Xenopus tropicalis: one gene and its partners. The protein of the gene in region 1 purifies or fractionates together with the protein of each later gene. This does not show direct contact. Links are inferred from orthologs where the notes say so. Each region holds a gene or a part of one and is shown in the gene's direction. Other genes may lie near its edges.

What was found.
Region 2: the proteins of sf3a1 (region 1) and sart1 fractionate together in Homo sapiens (co-fractionation; 3 studies listed by BioGRID and IntAct, with this or other methods). This does not show direct contact. The link is inferred for Xenopus tropicalis from reciprocal best matches to the Homo sapiens genes SF3A1 and SART1.
Region 3: the proteins of sf3a1 (region 1) and snrpa fractionate together in Homo sapiens (co-fractionation; 3 studies listed by BioGRID and IntAct, with this or other methods). This does not show direct contact. The link is inferred for Xenopus tropicalis from reciprocal best matches to the Homo sapiens genes SF3A1 and SNRPA.

What each region holds. Positions count from the first base shown.
Region 1 is NC_030677.2:144,341,937-144,346,076, forward strand, and holds part of sf3a1 (splicing factor 3A subunit 1), read left to right. Parts: intron 1-835; coding exon 836-910; intron 911-3,373; coding exon 3,374-3,524; intron 3,525-4,027; coding exon 4,028-4,140. UniProt on the Homo sapiens protein: Component of the 17S U2 SnRNP complex of the spliceosome, a large ribonucleoprotein complex that removes introns from transcribed pre-mRNAs.
Region 2 is NC_030680.2:38,861,609-38,866,386, forward strand, and holds the start of sart1 (U4/U6.U5 tri-snRNP-associated protein 1), read left to right. Parts: upstream 1-1,546; 5' UTR 1,547-1,614; intron 1,615-2,419; 5' UTR 2,420-2,620; intron 2,621-2,680; exon of another isoform or gene 2,681-2,767; intron 2,768-4,778. UniProt on the Homo sapiens protein: Plays a role in mRNA splicing as a component of the U4/U6-U5 tri-snRNP, one of the building blocks of the spliceosome. May also bind to DNA.
Region 3 is NC_030684.2:78,498,151-78,502,757, forward strand, and holds the start of snrpa (U1 small nuclear ribonucleoprotein A), read left to right. Parts: upstream 1-1,375; 5' UTR 1,376-1,609; intron 1,610-1,670; exon of another isoform or gene 1,671-1,692; intron 1,693-1,997; 5' UTR 1,998-2,016; coding exon 2,017-2,089; intron 2,090-2,227; coding exon 2,228-2,400; intron 2,401-3,067; coding exon 3,068-3,241; intron 3,242-3,320; coding exon 3,321-3,500; intron 3,501-4,024; coding exon 4,025-4,113; intron 4,114-4,607. Other genes in the region: UPF0692 protein C19orf54 homolog, read right to left, coding at 945-1,017. UniProt on the Homo sapiens protein: Component of the spliceosomal U1 snRNP, which is essential for recognition of the pre-mRNA 5' splice-site and the subsequent assembly of the spliceosome. U1 snRNP is the first snRNP to interact with pre-mRNA.

The sequences.
Region 1 (4,140 bases):
TGGAGGAAGCAGTACCATTTTTTTTGAAACCCTTCTGTTGGGTAAACAATTTGGCCCCATAGGTGTCCTTTAAGTAAAAGCTACATCGGCTAGAATGTGTTATATATCTTGAGAAATGATTAAAATATCAAAGTAGTTTACTTCCAGCCTGGCCATTGTTATTTAAATATGCTGCTTATGCAATGCTTTGTCATAATCACTTTTCATATTGTATAAAATGAGTGGCTGAATATTTTTATGAGCAACTAAAATGCAGCTGTTAACAAGTATTAACTATCTTTTAAAGGGGTTGTAAACCCAATAATAATACTGTCCCCCTGCTCCCCCTAGTTTTGCTAAATTGTCAAAAAACGTAATTTTGGATGCAAGAAAATCCACCAATGAGCATTTTACTGACTAAAAAAACCTCATAAGTGCAAGAAAAGAGACCGAGAACACTGGTTCCCAGCACTATGCCAGGCATCTTGAAAAGAACAGGGAGCCAGATTTACAAAGATTAGCTGGGATTCTAATTGGTAGATTTTTTGCATGTTAATGCAGCTGCTGGCACTGGAGATATGGAGAAAGGATTAGAAAAAGTTCTATTGCTTTAAAAATGCAACCCTGATTGTGCTGGACTACAACTCCTAGCATGCCACAAACTTCATTATATGTTATTGTTCTGGGATTTGTAGTCCAAAAACAGCTAAGTAAACTTTGGTTTAGCAGTGCAGTGCAGCAGGTTTTAGTACCCCCTTTAAGCTGCACTGTCAATATTGTCATTTATAGGCTCTAAGTAGAGATGGCTCTCGTGCACTGTGCCCCTGATATCCCTCTGGTAATCTCTTTCTTTCAGATCCTGATACCACCAAAAGGATTACTTGTAAAGCTAAAGAAAGAAGCTGAAAACCCAACAGAAGTATTGGATCAGGTAATGCAACCCTCTGCCTTCTAATATATTCTACCTGCATTTCTGTAAATTAGAACTTTTGTTGATTACTCTACAGTCTTTATGTTGGCTCCAAGTATACTTTCTGTTTTAAAGGACACATAAAGCCTAAGTTGGGCACGTCTCTTTCACCCAAATGGCATTATTTGTACTGCATATATCCCATCCGTTTGCCAGCACCATCACATTTTCGTAAAGCAAATAGCAGCTTTCACCCTGGGACCCTTATTCAGCTTACATTTCATCAAGAATGCAGCCTCACATAGGCAGAACTGTCTGATAAAAGTTCTACTTTGTTTGGACTGAGTTCAGGAGAGAAAGTTAGGAGAAAAAAATTGAAGCAGAAAGCTAGAGCTGAGTTTCTATGGAAACCAGCAGTGCCATCTCTTCACTGGCTGCTAGACTGGAGGGCGTGTTTAGTAATCTGAGTTTAGAACAACTAAACATGCCCACAAGCCAGAAGTCAATGAAAAGTCAAAGCAAATTCCTGAGGGAGGGGACCGAGTGGCTTACAGGAGGAGAAGGAAATCTTAGTTATTTAGGGGATGTTGCAGCCTTACTAACCTTATTAACCTCTGGACAACCAGAGTAGCAGGTATTGAAAGATTTCCAAGAGGATGTTCACTGATTAAATTTGTGTGTGTGAGGTTTACATGTCCTTTAAGGCTGCTTATTCAGTAAGTAGCAAGTTATTTTTTTATTTATAGCAATGTAGTTGCTCCTTAAGTCTTAAATGCAATTTAGAGTATGTAAAAGCTAACCTTGCAAAGCTATCACTTTGCCAATTATGTTATTAACCTAACTGTCCAGTGTTCTCTAAAAGCAGCATTGGTTCAAGGATTATTTTTTTTTTGTAAGTAAATGCAGATTAACCTAACACCTTCCACAATGCCAGACATTGGCTAGAGTGATGTTAAAGGAACAGTAACACCAAAAAATAAGTGTATAAAAGTAATTACAATATAATGTACTGTTGCCCTGCATTGCTACAACTGGTGTGTTTGCCTCAGAAAGACTACTATAGTTTATATAAGTTAGCTGCTGTGTAGCCACAGGGGCAGCCATTCAAAGGAGCAAAGGCACAGGTTTTTTAGCAGATAACAGATAAACCCCCATTATATGGGGCTTATCTACTAGTTATCTGCTATGTAACCTGTGCCTTTTCTCCTTTTTTCCAGCTTGAATGGCTGCCCCCATGGCTACACAGCAGCTTATTTATATAGTAGCTTTTCTGTAGCAAAAACACCAGTTTTTTGCAGAACAGCAGCACATTATATTTGAATTACTTTAAAACACTTTAATTTTTTGATGTTACTGTTCCTTTAAGGTTGCTGCCATTGGGCTCTGGAGCAGTGTAAATGTGTTAAATGTGTAATGAACCTTAGTTCACAGTCTGGCAGCCAGGAAAATGCTACCTGCCTAAATGTTTAATGCTTTTGTTTAGTTTGGTGGAGTAAAATAACAACAAAAAAAAGTAGTTTGGAGTAGGAACCCAGATTCTAGTAAAAACAAACTAGAATTCTTCTACATACAGTGCAATTTTTGACGCTATGCTTCCTACCTTTTGGCAACACTTTGGGGAGGGCCCTTTCCTGTTTCTGCATGCTCAAAGCAAAGTCTGTGCAGAATCAGTTGATTAAAGGAGAAGGAAAGGCTACACAAGAGTTAATCTCAGGCTGGAGGCTTACCATCCGTAGTCTGAAAGGTGCCCTTAAGTCTCCCCATATCTCCATGGATTACAAGAAGATAAGCCAAAACGGATATAAAAGCTAGGAGCTGTGTGCAGAAAGTTCCCATAATCCCTCGCTGATTGCCAGACTTCAGGACTTGCAACCGAAACGGCACATGCGCAGTTGTCTCTTCTCTGGGGGCGCACAAGCAGGCGCACTCCCTGCAATCAGATCTCTTGAGCCGGCCCCTAGAAGCGTGCACTAGCAAGCGTCTCGTTGCTATGGCGACGCGCCGTAAGCAGAAGCCTCCGGCGGCGTTCATTCATTCAAGGAGCACCTAGGCTGGGGGGAGGGAGGAAGCTCGCGCATGCGCAGTAAATACGCCAAAGGAGAGGAAGTGGGCATACAAATTCAAAGATGGCCGCGCCAAACCTTAGATAACACTGAAACTTTCGGGTAAGATTTTATAAGTTTCTCTTACTATAATTGAGCCCAAAGTGTAGTGTTTTTCTTTATCTATACTGGGACTATGCATTGGTACCATTTATAAAATTTTCCTTGCCATCTCCTTTAAATGGATGTGGAAGAAGTTGACTGCAGAGCCCTAACTACAAATGCCTATGTGATGTATTAGTAAATAATTCGAATAAGTTTACCTAGTTTAGCCTTTTGTTAGTATAAAACAATGCAGCTATCAACATTTTGCAATAATTGTCTATGTGCCTCTACCTTCTGCCTTTTCTTCTCACAAATGTTTTGTGTACTCTATAAGTAGGTGCGTTATCGTGTGGAGTGGGCAAAGTTTCAGGAAAGAGAGAAGAAAAAAGAGGAAGAAGAGAAAGAGAGAGAACGTGTTGCCTATGCACAAATAGACTGGCATGATTTTGTGGTAGTGGAAACTGTGGACTTCCAACCAAATGAGCAAGGTAATGCAACAAGTGCATTTGAATAGAGATATATTTTCCCTTTCCTAATTAGCTGTAGAAAGTACAACTACAGCATTCATCCCTAGGAAAAAATGGGTGGGTGGGGAAAAAACTTGTTCTTTTCCCCCACCCTGTTGCTGTAATAGAACAGGTTTTATAGAAGCTAATTGGACTGTGTGCTGCTGTAAATACACTGCCTCTGCCGACTTTTGCAAACCGTTTTGTATCACAGCAAGAGAATTGCATGCAGGAGAGGGGAGTTTGGTGGTTCCCAAAAAGTGCTGGGAGATGTGCCCTGCAAAAACACCTTGGGTAAATTACTGTGCTAGTTACTTTGTGTCTGGGTTTTTAAAATTGGATAATACCACAGATAAGTAGATATAGTTGAATACAGTATGAATCAGTAGGACAAGGAGTCTTACCATATTTTATAGTCTTTGTGCAAGTGAGTCTGAACCCTTCTACCGTATAATAAGTTTTATGAAAATATTTGCCTTTTACAGGTAACTTCCCACCTCCAACCACTCCAGAAGAGCTAGGGGCTCGAATACTTATCCAGGAGCGCTATGAGAAGTTTGGTGAGAGTGAGGAGGTAGAGATGGAAGTGGAATCTGAT
Region 2 (4,778 bases), on another chromosome or scaffold:
GCATATAATGTGCTGGTTTTGTAAATACAGACTGCATCTCAGTGTATATAATGTGCCTGGGATGTCCGTACTCATTGCCTTTCTTGCTATAAGTGAGGCAGTTTTATTTAAAAGTGGAGTCAAAGAAAGAAAAATAAAATAAAGGTTATAGCAGGACTGAAAGGTCTCAGAGAAGCCCACATTATGTGGACAAATCGAGTGTACAAGGCGATATGATGTATGAACTGGGAAAGAACAAGAGAGAAGTGACAGGGAGAGGCTAGCAGAGAAAATTACAATTTGCTCTACAATCTGCACTGGTTGATTTTTAGACAAATTCTGCCCATTATCTTAGCAGGGAAAAAACTCCAATGTTAGTGGAAAAAGACACCAACAAGCGGATGAACTGGGAAGGGGAAAGGAGACATAATACAGAAACGCTGCACTGACTTCTCTTTCAAAAGATACAGGATTTCTTGTCTGTTTGTTTTCCTGTGCCAGAGACACGCAGCTCTCTCCTGCTCCCCCCTCCCTCAAGAATGCTAAGAACTCTCTCCCCCCCCCTTAGGAATGTGGATCTGAGCCAATCAGCAGGAAGCTTCCTCATAGTCTTACAAACTGAGCATGTACACCGGTCTTGGTCTTGCTGCATGAGTGAGGCATTATGGGAACCTTCTTTACAGAGCTCAGTGCTTTTTCTTCCTGTTTGGCTTCTGATCTTCTGAACAGGTGAAATATGGGGAGACTTAAGGGCACTATTGAGACAGCTGAAGGTATGCCTGCAGCTTGAGATTAAGAAGTGAGGCATTATGGGAACCTTCTTTACAGAGCTCAGTGTTCTGATCATCTGAATGGGAGAAATATAGGGAGACTTAAAGGAACAGTAACACCAAAAAATAAAAGAACTTTAAAGTAATAAAAATATAATGCACTGTTGCCCTGCACTGGTAAAACTGGTGTGTTTGCTACAGTAACACTACTATAATTTATATAATAAGCTGCTGTGTAGCCACGGGGGCAGCCATTCAAGCTGGAAAAAAGGAGAAAAGGCACAGGTTACATAGCAAATAACAGATAAGTTCTGTAGAATACAATAGTGTTTTATCCGTTATCTGCTTTGTGCCTGTGCCTTTTCTCCTTTGAATGGCTTCCCCCATACTACACAGCAGCTTATTTATATAAATTATAGTAGACTTTCTGAAGTAAACACACAACTTTTACCAGTGCAGGGCAGCAGCACATTATATTTTAGTTACTTTTATACACTTTCATTTTTTGGAGTTACTGTTCCTTTAAGGGCACTATTGAAAGAACTGAAGGTATGCCTGCAGCTAGAGATTAACTCTTTATTAGCCTTTCCTTCTCCTTTAAATGGGTAGAGAGCAAATATCAATTGAGAAAATATAACCTTTATATTTAGGCAGAGTTACTGAGGGGCAACAAGCCCTACATGCCCTCAGTCCCTGGGAAATTTGCTACAGGTTCTCAAGATTTTGGGCACTAATAAGGCTGCTCAGCCAATATGCACAATGTTTTCTGCTAAATCACAGAGGTTAGTACTGTTCCAGAGAGGAGGAGCCGAAATACAATTAGTGCAGTGCTGTCAGTGCCATGTGTATATCTTACTAAATCTATGTATGTGCCAATGGTTGAACCTGTGCTTACATGAGTAAGTCTGTATGTCTGATTTATAAGCTCCACCAACACTACTTTCCCCCCTAGCAGGAATTAGGCTCCACATTTTCATTTTCTTAGAATCCTGGTGAGTGGATTGTGCTTTGACATGGTATCTAATTATAAAAAATCTTTTTTTCCACTGTTAGTAAAACTAGAAAGTTTTGATATTTCTAAATATGTATAGCGATTTTTTTAATACAGGTCATGTAACTCCAAGGTGATATATATTACAACAGGGGGTGCATTATTTATTATAATACATAAGTTCCAGTAACTCATGAGATTACATCACTGAGCGCTGATTATATCTGATTCATCACTAAGTACTGTTTATAAGGATATCATTTACAGGATATTTGCAGCTCTTGGCTCACACAGGAGTTCTGCGTTTCCTGCATGTTCACCTCCATCCAGTCAATGAATATATACTTTTAATGGGACACCATTAAATAGTTTGCCCTTGGCAGCTTCCACCACTGCAAAACACAACTGAAGTATCATTTACCCATCAGATATAGAAGACATTAGCATTGCTATGCCACTTTTACTAAGTGTACTTCAGCTACCAAAATAAATGTTAGTTCCCACTTTTTTGGGGAATCGCAATTACAATAACTACATTCATCATTTCCTTATTGTATTTATTTATACTTCTCCTTATCTATAGTTATATGGGGGCGTCAAACACTTCCGGATAACCGTATCGTTTGTCAAAACAAAATGTAATGGTGAGCAATTTGAATTCTTTTCCGCATTATTTCAGACAACAGAAAAAACCCAACAACATTTAGAACATAGTCTGAGCCAACCTCCGGATCTGTAGGAATCGGACCGTCGCATATAAGCGCGGTGAGAGGGTAGGGCGTATGACGTATTAAAGAATGCGACGGACAAATATTGTTACGTAACAACTGCGACGGTGGTGGCAGACATTTTGGGAAACGATACATACACGGCAACTAAAGTAAGAATAATAATTTGCACTGCTGAATGTTGACACAATGTAATAGGATGCGTAAAAGAAATTTTTCAGTTTGGTTGAATGCGTTGTATAGTTTAGGGAGTGAGAGGAGGCGGGAATATTTGCATTCGATCCACGGGGATTGCACAGGTACCCTTTCAACCAAAAACTCCTTGCTTCCAGTTACTTATCGCCTTCATGCTTTGTAAGCATGTCTTGTACGTACCTGCCTTTTTTATTCTAAGAGCTCGAATGATAACTCTGGCCCTGTTATGAATTCATCAGCCCTATGCTGAACATCATAATGCAGAATTTGCCATTTATCCTTGGATTCTCTCAAGAAAAACAAGGTTGTTATTAGATTTTAATGCTCAGGAAGGGTCTTGTTTAAAGGAGAAGGAAAGTTAAAATCTCTGGGGGATGGCACAGTATTGTAACAGAGCTTACCCCATTTATTGTGACCACCTAGATCAATGTTTCGGGGGCTACACCCTCCTTGTGCCTGGATGGGACGTATGTCCTGAACCCCCTCCCCAAAAAAACCATTGATCTAGGTGGGCACAATAAATGGGGTAAGCTCCCCAACGGCATATATCGTTGTGTGTGAGCGGCTCCCTTACAATACTATTTGCTGGAGACAGGGACCTGCCAGTCCTATGGAAGGCTTGCACCACCAGAGCAGTGGATGTGATATTTATACAGGTGTGTGGTGAAAATGATTGTGTTTGTATCCCGAGCGGCAAAATGTTAGGCACACCCCAGATATTAATGCCATCCCACCTGCTAGAATGTAAATCACCGGTGGGATGGCATAAGCGGTGCTGCGATTTGCCGAAGTTGCCTTGAGAGGAAACGTCCACGACTTCGGCAAATTGCGGTGCCGCGTATGCCATCCCATCGGCGATTTACATTCTAGCCGGTGGGATGGCATTTCGGGGAGATTAGTCGTCCATGACAAGGGAGATTTGTCTCGCGGCAACTAATCTCCCTGTCTGTCACAGCCCTTGGAGTAAAAAATAAAGAGCTTTTTGCTTTAAGTTTGGCATTTCATTCTGTTGCACATGTGCACCTGCCAAAGAAAGAAGAGAGTGGTGACATGATGCTTGCTTTTTTGTAACAATGTAGCAGAAGCCAACTGATAAACAGTTGAGAAGAGCTGAGTAGTTGCAATTGGAACAGACAAAGGCTACATTTTGTGAAATGATTTTTATGTTATAAAAGTAATAATTGCGTCTTGGAAAGTTCCTTAGAACATCAGTTTCTTTCATTAAGAAGATTTTTTTATTTTTGTGTTTATATCCCCTTTACAGTTGGAGATTGTATATTTTAATTTTAAGGAAGTGTTGTTTGATCACCAGAGGTGTGTGTTTTTTTTTTTTTAATATATAAATTACTAGGCATTTATTAAAAGTTATTCCTAATGAAAACACATTTTTTTGTATGAAGGTACTTACAGCATCAGTACCATATTCTCACGGGTGTTATTTATTTTCTAACTCTCTTTTGGGATTTTTGATCCCTTAACTAGCACCTACCTATCTGCCCTGTGTTGTCTGTCCACTAGCTATTTTCATCTTTTACACAGTTGCTTATGCTTGTACCTCACTGTCTTGTGTTTCCAGAACAAAATATTTATACAGAATATACCACTAAATAGCAAACCTCAAAGGTAATACGTCTGTTTTAGCTTTTATAATTAGCCAAGTCTGCATATTTTCTGGGCTGTATTTTGTTAAAGGTAAACTGCTGCATTACTACATTCATTCAGGGAGGATTGCATTATAATGTATATGACATTGTGTACAAGGCTGAGACTGAAAATGAAAATAGGCCCTGGCATTACAATTGAAATTGTACAAATTACTAACCGTGCCCCCACAGGCCTAGTAATTGTCTGTGGCATCTTACAGCAGCCACTCTGGCATTTGGCAGAATCTACAGATTGTCAGTCAGGGCCTACTGTCTACATAACTAATACATTACAGTGGCTCTTAACTGACATTGAAATAGACATTAAAGCTTATATCTATCCTGTACAAATGCTAGGCAAGGATTTACAACTTCCCTAACATGGGAAACAACATGCCTAGATGCCTAATATTGCACATTTCCTTTTACTAATATTCTTTATATATACATTATCATCTTAATGCCATCTCTG
Region 3 (4,607 bases), on another chromosome or scaffold:
CCACACTCGAATATACACACAGGTTAACTGGCTCCTGATAAAACTGGTCCTGCTGTGTGTGAATTGTTAGCTTCACTGTGGCAGGAACTAATGTGGTGATGTATAATCTCTGTAAAGGGATGGTGCTATATAAATAATAATAATGACCAGAAAACTGAAGCTGACTCCAGATACTTTACTACTCATAACCAGACTACTACACTGGCAATTAGTACAGGGAAGAGCAGTCTGGAGTCTGTGGGTTCCTCAAGCATTATTATATAGTATACTTTGCAATATATAGGCAAAGACTATATAGCCCACATTCTATTAGTATGTGATATTTAGGCCTCAGTAGTGGATATCAAAATATTGTCACCAGAACTATGGCAAATATACAATTCCAAGCAAATATCTTGCAAGGAGGATTCTGAGCTTTGCAGTTCAAGTAGCAAATTCAGTCTCTATACCTGCCCCTGCAAATTGTGCTATGAACACCTTTTTGCAGCCTTTGGACAGAACTGGGGTGCAAAATGCAAGCTATTGCAGTGACCCATTGCCCCTGGTCTGGTTACTGTAAAAATAGATCTTGACCTTGCTAAATTCTCTACTCTGACCCTGAACTGTGGGTGTCACTTCCTAGCAATTCAAAGCAACAGGTCATTGTATCAACTCCCCAAGGAAGTCCTAACTGAAAATCTATTTTATTACAGGCGCATTAAACAGATCATTTTAATACAAATTTGGGGTTCTAAAAAGACTTGACTTTGGGTCCCTGTAATTCTAGTAATGCCATTGCACGGAGATGAAATTGTGTTGCTACTGGGAGGGATTGTGTGAGAGATTAAACATTTTCCGAGACGCTGAGGAATATGTCGTTTCTAAACCTTACATTGCAGATTTAGCTACAGGTTGTAAACAAGATCTGACACCGTACTTTATAGCATGTTGGTGAAAAAAACTACCAGATCCGGCTTCAGTTCGGAAACATTCTTTGACCACGTGTGTACTAAACCATATATGTATCCCCTTGTTCATCTGTACAGGTTAATTTATTCATTTTAATTGCCAACGATAGTATCTTGAAAACTATCACCTAAGCTATAAACGCCATGAAATCATATTCACGAACACCTACAACAATAGCAAAACAATATAGTCACGTATGCCGCAGGAGTCCGTTTCCTGTTTCCGGGAGGAATATATTAGCAGCTGCACCGCGTTCTACGCCTCGGCCTCCGATTTCATTGGTCGCGCGGCTTGCTTTGGGTTATTGCTATAGGGTGAAATGGCTTTCACTTATGGCTTGCAGCCAATCGATGAAGATTTGGGTAGGTCACCAATGATATACCTGCAAGACGTCGAGAGTTGCTGTAGCAACGCGGCCTAAGTTAGACGTAAATTGGGCGTTGAATGAATTTAGGTACAAGGCCTTCCGGTGGCGGCAATCTCAGTTAATCACATTGGGTTTTAGTGCATGCGACTTGCGTTGCTATCTTGAAATATTTCCTGCTATTGTACGTTCCATCCGGGAAGTTTATTTCTTTTCCAGCGTACCGTATTCGTATCGTAGCACAAGCCCAGCGTTTAATTTGGCGGCCCTTTTAACTGTATCATATCCAGGCTGAGGGTAAGTATGCTTCCGTCCCGTTCATTGTTATATCTTCCCGCTTCCTAGCTGTGCCACAACAACTACGGGCCTCTCACAATCAGGTCCCGGCTGTGATATTTCAACTTTAATGTTACCCTGTGTTCTTTGCATGGCTGTGTCAGGGGCTGTGTAGTTTTGTTATGATCTGGGTGTTGATAATACTAATAATACTATGTTACTACTATATGGCTCGCAAAGGAAAATATATTGTAGACCTTAGTTTGCACAAGTAAATAAGTCTGCGTGTAGTATAGGCACTGGTATATTATATGCACACTCTGCTCATACATAACTGGGCTTATGTACAGACTATACCAGGGCATTGTTCTATTTTAAGATGCAATTAACCCTTTTTTTCTCCCTTCAGATTAAGTTGTTGAGGAAGTATGGCTGTTCAAGAAGTCAGGCCTAATAACACAATCTACATCAACAACCTGAATGAGAAAATTAAAAAAGATGGTGAGTTAAGGCTGTAGCAATCCCTGGAGCGCAACCTAAATCTCTGTACCAGTGTTTACATTACTGCAATTTAGTGCTATTTAGAATTACTTGGTCTTTGAAAATCCAAAGATTTGACTTTTGCTTTCTTCTCTTTAGAGCTAAAGAAGTCTCTTTATGCCATATTCTCACAGTTTGGTCAGATTCTGGATATCTTGGTGTCTCGCAGCCTGAAGATGAGAGGACAGGCTTTTGTTATATTTAAAGAAATAAGCAGTGCCACAAATGCTCTGAGGTCAATGCAGGGGTTTCCCTTTTATGATAAACCAATGGTTAGTATTTATTGTAGTTTTTTTCCCATTTTTCATTTACTTTACTTCAAAGTGTTCTTTTAGGATAAGTCTATGGTTATAGAGACATGAATGATATCTGACACTTTATGGAAAAATGGTCAGTGACAGTGGAATGACCCATATATTTATATGAAAGGACATGGGTGTATATACCATCTTACTGGCAGATTAAAGGACTAGAAACAATTTTCCAAATCCCCCTGCCTATAAAGTAAACATACCTTTGTACGTGCATATTTGGGGTGTATGCTAATTTTCATTGAGGGGTTGAGAAGAAACTATGCACTCCCATATTGAAAAGGATATTGTACATAAGTTAATAACATCTTCAATAACCATCCTTCATAATATTTTTACAGGGCTCCTGGGTTAATACTTGTGAATGTGTGGGAGTTTACATCTGCTTAGGTAGTTTGCATGGATAGCTGTGCACATTGTTGCTAAAGGAATCCCACACCCAGTGCAATTAAATATATGGCTTGTTTGTTTATCTGTGCTCATTATTTCTTTAGAAAAAAAGAACTATAAAGCCAAGTTGGGTAGGGTGGTGGTGGATACATTCTGTTCAGTTTCCATACAGTATCTCCTCCCATTCCATTAAAACTTGGTTATTTTAGTCTTTATGCTGATTTTGCTTTTACTCCAGAGAATACAATATTCAAAATCCGATTCTGACATCATTGCCAAAATGAAAGGTACCTATGTGGAAAGAGACAGAAAGAGGCAGGAGAAGAGGAAGGTGAAAGGCCAGGAAGCTCCGGGTGTTAAAAAGGCTTTACCAGGTGCTGCGTTGCTTCCAGGCGTTCCAGGACAGATGGCGGTAAATACATACAATTTTTTTTTTTTCTTGAAAGAAACCCGTTATGTTGTGCACAGCCATAATTTTATTTATTTTTTAGGGCATGCAAAATATACCTGGTATGACTCAAGCTCCACGCATGATGCATATGGCTGGGCAGGCACCCTACATGCATCACCCTGGTATGATGCCACCACCAGGGATGGCACCAGGACAGATCCCACCAGGAGGCATGCCCCATGGACACCTGATGCCTGGGCAGATGGCACCCATGCAGCCAGTAAGTTAGACTACATCACCAGATCTGTCTGTGGGTGATAGTCTCGCTAGCTTTTATAAAGAGTACCTGATGTCTGCTAGCTTAACTATTCTTTGCAGCTTTCGGGGGAGGGGGTGCGGTGCTTAAAGGAGACATATTGGATAAATGGGGAAAACCCTAATATTGTAGGCAATTATGAATAATATATGGTGCTGGTTTCCCTTTGTGCTTAAAATTAATCCAATCTGTAAAAATGGCCCCTTTATTGGAGCTCCCTATAGATCCTCTCTTCTGACCATGTTTAAAATGAAGAGTGGGCGTTTCCTAATGGTCCCTGCCAGAAGCACAACTTTTTTAAGCGCAATCCTTCTATATCTAGAGGAGTAAAATTCACTGGTACATTCATTATTTTTATAGGATACATCTCCTTTAATATACTGGCAACTCCCAATAAACCTGGTGTCTTTCAAGAGCTGTCCACAGAAACTGCCTGTGTCTGAGTTTTTCAGTCATAACTTTGAATGCTGTTTTTTATTTTTTTTTAGATTTCTGAAAACCCACCTAACCACATCCTCTTCCTCACCAACCTTCCAGAGGAAACAAATGAGCTAATGCTATCTATGCTGTTTAACCAGTAAGTATTGCACAAAATATAACTGTTGTACACTGTCGTAGTTGCATAAAAACACCCTTGTCATATTTCAGTATTGCAGGGCAAAATTATGGAGTGGAAATTGTCCACAAAAAACCTTAATAAAAATATAACTTAGAACCTACAGAATAGCCGGTCTTTTCCAAGTCTGGCATGTTTTGCTTTTGCCCTTACTGTAACTATTTGGCTAGCATCCTGCCTATAGTGAGCAATTGGCTGTAGTTTTGTAGTTAACCAATTGTATTGTAAGTAATGCTTACACTGGAGACCTTGTTTCACATACAGGTCCTTTTCAAAAAATTAGCATATTGTGATAAAGTTCATTATTTTCTGTAATGTACTGATAAACATTAGACTTTCATATATTTTAGATTCATTACACACAACTGAAGTAGTTCAAGCCTTTTCTTGTTTTAATATTGATGATTGTGGCATACAGCTCATGAAAACCCAAAATTCCTATCTCAAAAAATTAG